2 linked regions of the Drosophila melanogaster genome follow. The protein of the gene in region 1 interacts with the protein of each later gene in a pairwise test. Each region holds a gene or a part of one and is shown in the gene's direction. Other genes may lie near its edges.

Region 1 (5,079 bases):
TTGCAAGCTAGTTTTTGGAGTATCCATATAGATAGTATTCGTTGGTCTAGCGATAGAACTTGACTTCCGCCTCGACACAGTCCTTGAGCAGTTCGTCCAGCTCGTCACTGGCGTGATCCTGCAGAGAGAAATAGTTATTTAGCTCGTCCACGCAGGAGAGCTCCAAGCTGCGCAAGTGCTCCAAGGCGGCCGGCTTGCGTTGCGAGTGTAGCTTGTGCAGCAACGTCAAGTCCGCTTCCGCTTGCACTTGGGTTAGCGGCGAGATCCTCGGATTTGGGGCAAAAACGAACGGCTTAAACACAGACTCGGCGGCATTGGGCGTCCCGGTGAACCAATGGCATGAGATTCCCTTCACCGACAGCACCGAAACGGTAGCCGCCCTCGAGCTGCTCGCATTACTGGCGGATCGCAGCGTCTCGAACATGTCGTGCTGGGTATATGTTCCATCGCCAGCTGGCTTGGGACCACACCAATCCACTGCCGGGGCCTGGGCCTCTGCATCGTGAGCAGCGGCAAAACTGGCAGCGTCATCTAATCCCTCGCTTGACTTGTTCACCACAGTGGTCACAGCCAGTCCTCCGGAGGGCAAACGCAAGAAGCTGGCCTCCAATTTCTCAGCGGCCCATACCTTGCCAGAGCAACTCACAAGCCAGGCAGCAGCTGCATCGCAAGCGATGAAGTTTAGTTTGGAGTTGTCGTGACCGTGACTGGCCACCAAAGCTCCAATCCGGTCTACAGCATCGTCCACATCTTTGGCGACAGCCAAAGTCAAGCTACAAAAAAGTTATTAGATGATTTATTATTTCATGATTTATAATAATTGTAAAAGCCTTAGTTTCTCGACAACATTAAATTTCTGATTGATTCGTTTTTAATTAACTTATGAAATAATGTTGAAATAATAGTATCTTCAAGCATTAATAAGCCCTAAAGGACACGAAAGGATTGGAATGCTAATTACAAACATCAGCCACAAAATGTCATCCTTTGAATAAGTATTTACGTTCTGCATTATATAGACTTCATATGTACATACATTTTTAGTGATGAAAGTTATTTATATTAAGTGCAAATAATTTGCTTTGTTGTGCATAGTTTGTTGATACGCAGATATTGAAAGAGAACTTACCGCACTATATCCGTGCCCAGCAGGCTGTCGCTGTCCTTGGCCTCGTTTTCACCTGCCGCCCAGGTAAGACCTAGGGCCACTCCGCGTTCATTGGCCCCGAAGTCCCCACCCCAGAGACCCGGCTGCGGTTTTTGCAATATAACACGCAACATATCGCCGCCTGTCTCGGCAGAAGCTCCACCGTCAGTCTGAAATGTGAGGTGTTTGGGTGGTGAGTCATTGATCGAGCTTCGTTTTCGGAGGAGTCTGTCTTTACCTTCCCCTCAAGCACTTCGGTGGCATCGTAGAAGCAAACCTCCGAAGCAACGTTGACGTTTTTTTCGTCCTCCGCATTGCGACCGATGATCAAAGTTCCTTCGGCACAGTTCTCGGGCAGAACAACAAAGCAGTCACCGTTGGTCATTTTTATCCGTGCTTTTCTCGCGAAGAAGTTTCTTCAGAAGTGCGCGAGGGAGTTGCAAAATTGATTTTTCCCACAGCTGTTTAAGGTTCAAACGTTATTCAACACTGCCCAATATATATCGTGGAAATGAACCGTGGCGATGAGCCGTTGACTCGTCTGGCAACATCGGACGTTATTTATTTGTTTAGTATGGAGAATTCTAAAAGAACTATAAGGATTAGGTATTTTAGTGTTCTATATATAAAATATTTCCTTATACATCTCCATTATTTAAATGACGAGCATTAATGTTGACAATACTATGATCCAACACCAATAAGAATTCGATTTACTTAAATTACAACCTTCATTTACACCATAATTAGCAGCATTGAATAAGAGAGGGAAGTTATAATGAATATCGGGTTTTCCTTTGAATCTGGAAAAATGCAGACAAGTCGCATCCCATCTCTAAGCATTTTACCCTTCTCTGATAAAGTACCCATCGCTAGAAATCTGCCCATTCGTCTGGTAACCGAGGTTTTTCTTGTTTCGGCGTTAAAATGCTCAAAAACCTGTCTGCATAGAAGGAAAACGCGGAACGTCTCGGAATTGCAAGCTTTTCGCGATATTCGGGCAATTGGAAAAACCGCGCATCCAGCAAAATTGTATCCACTAAGCTGCATTTGTATACAGAGCAGGTGGTGTTGTCTCCCTCTCGCGCCCGCACTGCTCGCTCCCGATGTGCGAGCGAAACAACAACAAACAAGTTACAAGGTGTGTGGAGTGGTGTGTGCTGCTGGTGTTGTTGTAGCTGTAGTTGTAAATACTCGCGCACACAGTGTTGTTGTTGCGCTGGTGGATGGTGTTGTTCAGCGCCTTTTTTGAGTGTTGATTATTTTACTTGCGTGCGTTTGCTACTCGTGGGCGGCTGTGAAGACTGTGAGACGCGGAAAAGTGCTGAGAAAAGCCACGAAAAGCTAGATAAACGCTAACCCACAGCTGCGGGCTGGAAACCATTTATTTAAAGTGCCAAATTGGGTAAAGAAATTTAGAAAATCAATATTCTGTGAGGGTGCTAGCGGCCAATAAGAAACCTCTGCGTGAAAATAGCAAGAAAGTCGAAAGAATTTCAAGTTTTCGATAGACCGCTCCCTGAAAAAAATAGATATTTTCTGTTTTTGTTGTGCGTTGCTTGACGACTTTGACCGCGCGCATTTTCCCCGCCGTGAAACTAGTTTCTTTTTGTTTGGTGGCACACCGCTGATGACGTTTTAAAGCCCTGCTGGCCAGTGAAATTAAAGCAATTGCCCATAAAAATCAATAAATTCAAGCCACGGGTATACACACAATTTGAAGGAAATTTAAGCAGTGCTTTAAGAGACGAGTTGCGGAAACTGGGAGAAACTACCCTCCAGTCCCCAAAAACTCCCCCGAAGGATGTTTTAAATGGGGTACATATATACATGTACACACACCCACCCGTATTCCACCCCCCAAAAGCGCGCCCCCTTTTCCGGCATTTCGTCAACATTAATGTAGCATCTCCCCGCGTGCGTGTGTATGTATCTGTTCTGCCTGACGACAGTGTGTGTTTGCTTGTGTCGAAAGTGCATTGCTCTTCATTACAAAAGCAACGTGCAGAGCGGCCTCGTTTCATATGGCCAAGTGTGTGTGATTTTACACCGTTAAGTTAGAGAACTCCAGCTAACCCGCTGTTGGCAACACGCTGGCTGCGTTTTTCTTTTTCGGCAGTTGGCAACACGCTGACCCAATAACGGTACAACTAGACCCGCACTCTCCTCCGCCGCGATCTCTCGCACAGATGCGCATGCATGAATGAAACAGAAACAGCACCCGCATGCCGTTATTATTATTATTATAATAATTGCCGTTGTTGTTGTGAAATCTCCGCGACCCACATATTTGCGTTCGATCGCACATTGGGACCAAATCGACATCCAATTGGATTCGGGGCAGGGCTGCATTTTCCTGTTTTATTTTTGGTAGCCCATTTAAATCAGGTTCAATGAACCAACACCAGCCCACGGAATGCCGCAGAAGAGAGTGTTTGTGTGTGCGTTGCCCGTTTTGTGAAAGTTAAAAATATTTGTTGTTCGTATTGCTGTGCTAAAACCTCCTATCAATATTCGGTGGCATAGCTGTTTATATTTTCGGCCGTCTTTATTTAAATGATTCGACATACATAATTAGCATGTATTATTAAGCAGCGGCAAAATTACCTTGACATTGAGAGATTATTTGTGTGTGCGTGTAAATGTTCTGCGAACGGGGCTCCATGTGCCATCTCTCTCGCTCTCGCTTCGAAGGCCAAGTTGTAAATACAAGCGCACAATTAGGTATAATATTTTATAGGGCTACTGTTTTTGTTGATGTTATTGTGGAAAAACCGAGTGCGAATGACCTTGCCAATAGACACCTGCCTCGATAGCAGCATATTATCGATAACGAGAAAGGCCGGAACCTCTATCTCAAGATCGTCGACTTCGAGCGGGGTGGAGCGGAGCTCTGATAAAAAATGTTTTATATAGACTCTACGTTCTTTAAATTATTACAAAAATGTGAAAGAAAAAAGTAAAGAGCATGCTTATTTTCTTGATAAGGAAAGCTGAACAAATAAATTTCTTATAAATTTTACTGCTAATTCCATACAAATTTGGTAAAAAGTCGTTGTTTTTATTAGAAATACTATTACAAATAAAATTCAGAAGATTCGTAAGTGCATCATACTTATGTATGTTCAACTTTTCGCTCAACTTTCAACGCTCCTCTGGTAACGTTAATTGGACCCAAATATATTGAGTTTTAAAAATCCTCTTTTTACTTAAGGAAAATTCTTATATTATATATATATATATATATATATATATATATATATATATATATATATATATATATACTTGCAGCTCCAACAAAATTCCGTCTTCATTCAATGCGAAACTGGAGCTAGACTCCAGCAAAGACGACACCATTCACTCCACAAGCTTGAACAAGAAGCTGGTCAAGATTAAAAAGTTCAAGTTGGACGATATGAAGGAGATGGTGGGCGGCTGTTGCGTTTGTTCAGACGAGCGGGGGTGGCCGGAGAACCCGCTCGTCTACTGTGACGGCCAGAACTGTACTGTGGCAGTGCACCAGGCGTGCTATGGCATTGTGACGGTTCCCACTGGACCCTGGTACTGTCGCAAGTGCGAGTCCCAGGAGCGAACCTCTCGCGTCCGATGCGAACTATGTCCCTCGCGGGATGGCGCCCTTAAGAAGACGGATAATAGCGGGTGGGCGCACGTTGTTTGCGCCCTGTACATCCCAGAGGTGCGATTTGGGAATGTGACCACCATGGAGCCCATCATATTGTCATTAATACCGCAGGAGCGGTACTCGAAGAGTAAGCTATGTTTAAATGTTTTATATTTACATATATTATTTAAAAAATGTTACTCATTGAAAAATTATAACCCCTGTTTGTTAAACTAGCCTTAGCTAAATGGCAATAATTAATTACAATCCGTTTCCATTTTCAGCTTGCTATATTTGCCAGGAAATTGGC
Region 2 (6,089 bases), about 15 Mb from region 1:
CGTTGGCAATTGTTTGCATTTAATGCCCCCGGCTCAGAGCCGTAAGTACCACCCCGTGCTCTTCCAAATGCACTCGAAAAAAAGGATACTCGAATGAATGCCTTCATAAAAATATCAGTTTAATTAAATTAAATATCTTGTAGCAAATATAAAAACTAGTTGTAACTTATAATTCCCTTATTTTTCCAAAAATTTCGCATTCAATCAAAATATTATAGCACAAGTTTTTAAGTCTTTTCTTGCTTTTTCGTCAGGTGTGGGGGTAAAATTAAAAGAAGTTTACGCAATGTTTGCATAAAATGCACGCAAAAATGTCCCGTCAGCTGCTGACCATCATTTTCCGTAGGTGTTCGACGGCGACTTGTTTTTTGTTGCCGTTTTAAGTGCTTGAAATCCGTTGTGTTGACTTTATTTACCCACGCACACCCGCCGTTTGTGACCCCGCTTTGTCTTTATTTTCCATCCCCGACGCACCGCCATACCTTGGCATGTGGACGATGCTCATGCTACTCCTCCGCCTCCTCCTTCGCTCTGCTCTGGACATGTGTATGGACAACATTTGACAACAGCGTGCTTGGCCATCGGATTCCGGAAGTGCCGGTGCCCTTATTCAGCGTTTATCCGGCCACGAAGCATGCAATTACGGCCCTCTGCCAAACGGTGCGCCAGGAAATACATTTTCTCAAATTAAATATTAAATTAACGGTAAGTTAAATGCAGTGCATACATGGCGCGCCTCATCCTCCATCTTAATCCTCGGGAAATGCGGCAAACATGACGCGTCTGCTCATTGGTTACCCTCTCCATTTTTATCCCTCCATTGCAGAGCATTTGCCCGGGCATGGTAGACACGGATTTCCTTAGTGTTTACTCGCAGGCGGTAGCCGAGCTGCCCAAACTGCAGGCAAGGGATGTGGCCAAGGCCGTGTTGTATGCGCTGAACACTCCCGATGGCGTCCAGGTGGAGGACATCATCCTGCAGCAGATGCGGAAGGTCGATTGAATTTTAGTTTGAATTTCAAGAGAATTACATTTTACCCAAAACGATATTATTTGTACATTTTGTATATGTTCTTCTATGTAATAAGAGAACAAATGTACATATTTTTAAATATAAAAAATTACATTATTGCATTTCAAGCAACTGTTTCGACACTTTATATTCTTTAAGATGTTATCTGTAGATAACATCTGTATTAACATCTTATTACAAATAACATAAAAATGCAATAAAACGATAATTAAACATTTATAATATTTTGCATATTCTCTAATCGATATAACATTAAATGCGTGTAAATAGTTTGGCAACATTATGAATGCATTTATACATTCATTCATTTGAATTGGAATTGCCCGCGCATGTAGTGGAGTTGCCACCTTGCGGTAGGGCTGCCAGATTGAGTCAAAAGACCAGGGCTGTACAGCTATCGCTAGCGAGTACAACAACCACTCTTGATTTGGCTCGCTTCGCTCTAGCAGAGTTATCCACCAAAACATCGATTACTCGTGCTACCCCCAAAATCGATGGTACGAAACAAACATCGATATTTCACAGCTTTCGCTTATTGGTCACACTGGGGCTTATGATTAAAAAAAACTGAACTGACTCCAATAAAAACGTGAGGTAGAAAAAGCGAATTAGGTTGACAATTAATACACACAGCAGACGCACGGTAACCAGCCGCCAATACCGATACGAACGCGCGGCGGCAACAGCAAGTGCGCAAGTAAAAGTCCATATCAAACGCAAGCTACCCGCAGCCGCGGGCAGTTAAATTCCGAAATGCGTCCACGTAGTGCAAAATCCGAATCTCAATTCGAATTCGAATCGGAAGTCCGGATGTCTGCGCCCTTTTTATGCTTTTTTCGAGGGTGCGGCTTAGATCGGCGTGCACCTGCCGTCCAAAGTGTGATTACGAAATGTGCTCCAACGTGAAATGATATTATAAAGTATAATATAATGCATGTTACCACGTAGTTGCACACAGACAGGCAGCACACGCACACACACGCGCACACCCAGTGCCACTCACACACACACACAGACAGTGAGCGAGCGAGAGGGCAGGAGGCAGAGAAAGAATGAAATAAAGAAAGTGCTGCCCAGTTGACAAAGAACAGGTTTTAACCTAATTAACTAAATAATGGGCCCAAGTGAATGTTTCGCCGCCAGGAGGAATTTGCTTCCTTATATCCGCAAGGTCCCCGCCGCTCGAGTGTGCGTGTTGTTGTATGTGTGTCAAGGTTCCGGAAGTTGAGCCGCCGTAAAATTGATTTCCTATACACCAAGCCGCTGTTGCTGCCGCTGCTGTTGTTCTTATTGTGTTTCTGTGGCTGGACATTGAACTTGAGTCGAAATGCGCACTAACCCATTATCCATGCCATATCTCTTTTCGATCCGGCAGCCGTCTAGCCCAGCAGCTCTCTTCCCCCCACAATAAACACACACAAGCTGCTCTTGGAGCCAATCACCCGCAACCGATAGCCACACGAAACCATCAGGATGTTCATCTGGGACTGGTTCACCGGAGTGCTGGGATACCTGGGTAAGCAACGTCGCCATTGCCGACCTTGTGCCTTGGGGCGGCGTTTCTTGAACGAGTGCCAACAAGGCAGCCGCACAAAAGAAACCCAAATTCGACGGCTGTACAGCGGAGGTCGTGGTGATAGCTCTAAACGTGCGATTATCTCGAAATCTAGAGGTTAAACTGTGTCTATAAGGTGTCGAAAGCTTATAACTTTCCATTAGGTCTCTCTATCACAACAAATGCGCGTTGAATATGCATTACTCTAGGGTGCATATACAATATACACTTCTGTAAAAGGTATTTTGATTGCATAGCCATGTACTCTTCAGCCACAATTATTTAAGCAGACATTTTTGATAGGGTTTTCCTCGCTTCCAGATGGCTGCTACACTTTTATTTGCTTTGTAATGCTAAAAGTTAAAATTATTCCATACGAAAAGTACTGTTCTACAGTGCAGGCCAAACTGATAGCAGTTGTTATAAGCGCATTTTTGTTATAGCTTGATCTTTAATCAGGTTAATGATAGCCGAACATTTTGGGTAGCAAAGGTAATAATTAGCCCGAAGTCCAAGAGCTATTGTCTCGACCTCAAATGTATATTCGGCTGTCTGTGGCTGGGCAAACACAAGTGAGCCGCCACTAGTGTTAGTTTAGCTGCGTATATTAATTGATGACGCGTAAGTCAAAAGGCTATTCAACACACTTTCTCGTTTTCAGGTCTGTGGAAAAAGTCTGGCAAATTATTGTTCCTGGGCCTGGATAATGCTGGCAAAACCACACTCTTGCATATGCTCAAAGATGATAAGCTGGCGCAGCATGTGCCCACACTGCATCCAAGTGAGTTTCCTTCATGGACTAAATAGTGGTTATGTGTGTGACTTTAATTAACTAATATGATTGACTTGCAGCATCCGAGGAGCTGTCCATCGGCAACATGCGCTTCACTACATTCGACTTGGGTGGCCACACTCAGGGTAAGTGCCTAATCTTGACCAGAGCTCAGGGGAATGTGAATGTGCATCCAAATCGTTGCTATTTTCCGTACGTGCCCACGACTAAATATAGACCAGTATGCAAATATCGCAGGGCTAAGCAAGCGCAGCCGCCAGATCCACGACAATCAGCATGAAATATAGCGCATCAGGTCACCCATACAGCCAGTGCGTCTTACACTCGTAGCATTTGTTGCGATCAATCAGCGCCACACACTCGAAGCAATGCCACCACAGTGGTCACAAGCAGCTCATCCAGAGATCTCAATTATCATCTTATCTCAACTGTGATTATGAAGACCTCAGAATACTAGAATATTTAACCCATTGCATACAATCAATATGTTCATTTATGTTTAGAAAGCAATTAGTGTCTTGTTGATTTTCGCAAATACTATCTTCCTTACCACTGTGCACATATAGGCGACGTATTTATTATTAATATTATGAAGGCAAACATTCTCTATGTAGATAACAAACAGAAACGAAAAACTCGCATACATGCAGTTGATATATGTATATAAATATGAACATTATGAAAAGTGATCAAACATCGTGAAATCCAGTTGTTTTGATAACGAAGCTCTAGCACTCATTTTAAGGCAGCTCGTCATCGTGACGATCGTTTTCGCTTCGGAACTACTAGGTACACTAAAGTAGAAAGGTTCTTAGCGGCGGAAAGATATCAGATTTGTGCCTGATATCAGTGACTTGCGCTTTGTTATTCTAGCGATGTTATATAAATTACAGATTGTTGGTCAACAGCAGCGACTACTAAGGTGCCCTTGCAAATCTTGATTCAAAAATCGGAAGACTAACCCATCTAAAGACTAACTGCTGCTTTTGTATTTATGAGACATATCTACTTATTTCTGCAGCACGACGCGTCTGGAAGGACTACTTCCCTGCTGTGGACGCCATCGTTTTCTTAATAGACGCCTGGGACCGTGGCCGCTTCCAGGAGAGCAAAAACGAGCTGGATTCGCTGCTCACGGATGAGGCGCTGTCCAACTGCCCCGTGCTCATATTGGGCAACAAAATCGATAAGCCCGGCGCGGCTAGCGAGGATGAGCTGAGAAACGTGTTCGGACTGTATCAGCTAACAACCGGCAAGGTGAGCACCAAAACCACCTCCCTCCCTCCCTCCCTCCTTACTCCTGCTACATAATTGATATCCATTTGACTTGCAGGGCAAAGTTGCACGCGCCGATTTGCCCGGCCGTCCTCTGGAATTGTTCATGTGCTCCGTGCTGAAGCGACAGGGCTACGGCGAGGGTTTCCGTTGGCTGGCGCAGTATATCGATTAAGTCAGCATTAGCAACCACCACCAGCACCATATTTTCAAGAACACCACTCAACACTCAAAACCGAAAACTTGGCTACAAAATTTCCAAAAATGATTAGAGACCGCAGAAAGAACAGAACCCAAGGGATGTGAACCCAGCCCAATTCAAACCGTCAGACCTTAAGCAAAACGAAGCTGCGTGCGCAATTTCTAATTTATACAAAACAATTACAAATATTTCATAATAATAAAAAAAAAAAAACAGAAAACCATACAATGTACATCTGTAACACACAAGAAATCGCGGGAAAAACAGAACACAACATCAAAGTGAAGACAACTTTTCTATCTGGAACATCGGGATACATTGTAAGGAGCTGAAGGATGCGCGGAGTGCGCAAGGGAAACTTTTAATAATAATTATGAGTAACAAATTATAGCAAATTAAAGGTGATTTATTTAAGAGCATGTGCTTTCAACGAACGCTGTTTCGCCAATAAAATGTAGCCACCTACCTTTATTTCAAGTTTATGAATTGTAAATGTCGCTATTGATTTCCTAAATAGTTTACTTTGGCCGCAAAACATTATGTACATCCCTATAAGGATTCGACCTCCGATAAATGGTACACCTTAGTTTAGCTAAAAATTTTAAGTTGCATGTCATCGATGTACTTTGTTTCTTTTATACAATACGAAAGGGAAAGCAATTTATATAAAAAAGCATTTTTGTTTGCAGACAGAATTCTAAATAAAACGGAGAAAAGTAATTTTGTAAAATACATAAATTGGTGACTATTGTTGTTTTGCATTGGATTTATGTGCCGAGCTTGAATGAAACCCAGCGATGTACAAACATATTGGATTCATTTATTTATTTGCATTTAGGGTTTACGCTAATGAGTCACGTCCGGAGCATCTATTGAAATCAGGGAGCAGGCATTCGATGAGGGCGAGCACGGGATCCAGGAGCTGCAAACATGCTGGTCCAAGTAGAAAAATACACAAAACTCTGCAGAGTATGATCGCGACCTCAGTGCTAACTGAGCCGGCAGCGGCGGGGCAGTCCTCTCAGCAGCATCAGTTGGCGTTGAAAGAGGCGCATGAGCAAGCCCTTGCGCTTGGCCCGCTCCCTGGATCAGGAACGCGATGATCCGCCCATGGAGCCGGACCCGGAGCCGCCGCCAGCCATGCGCCGCTTCTTTTTCTTCTTGGCCGTCAGACTCTCCTGGCCGCTGTCCGTGTTGGAATCGCCGCCATCGTCGCTCTCCTCCTCCTCCG

What was found. Proteins that work in one complex are often made in the same cells at the same time.
Region 2: the proteins of Alh (region 1) and Sar1 interact in a two-hybrid assay, tested with the Drosophila melanogaster proteins (one large-scale study listed by BioGRID).

Annotation. Positions count from the first base shown.
Region 1 is NT_033777.3:7,121,113-7,126,191, reverse strand, and holds the start of Alh (alhambra), read left to right. Parts: upstream 1-2,006; 5' UTR 2,007-2,253; coding exon 2,254-2,288; intron 2,289-2,453; exon of another isoform or gene 2,454-2,552; intron 2,553-4,438; coding exon 4,439-4,917; intron 4,918-5,053; coding exon 5,054-5,079. Other genes in the region: CG10098 (uncharacterized protein), read right to left, coding at 47-773, 1,130-1,317, 1,386-1,532.
Region 2 is NT_033777.3:22,355,123-22,361,211, forward strand, and holds Sar1 (Secretion-associated Ras-related 1), read left to right. Parts: upstream 1-1,562; 5' UTR 1,563-1,676; exon of another isoform or gene 1,677-1,925; intron 1,926-2,394; exon of another isoform or gene 2,395-2,408; 5' UTR 2,409-2,506; coding exon 2,507-2,549; intron 2,550-3,249; coding exon 3,250-3,369; intron 3,370-3,440; coding exon 3,441-3,506; intron 3,507-4,402; coding exon 4,403-4,638; intron 4,639-4,714; coding exon 4,715-4,831; 3' UTR 4,832-5,589; downstream 5,590-6,089. Other genes in the region: rdhB (retinol dehydrogenase B), read left to right, coding at 570-705, 827-1,003; JMJD6 (jumonji domain containing 6), read right to left, coding at 5,947-6,089.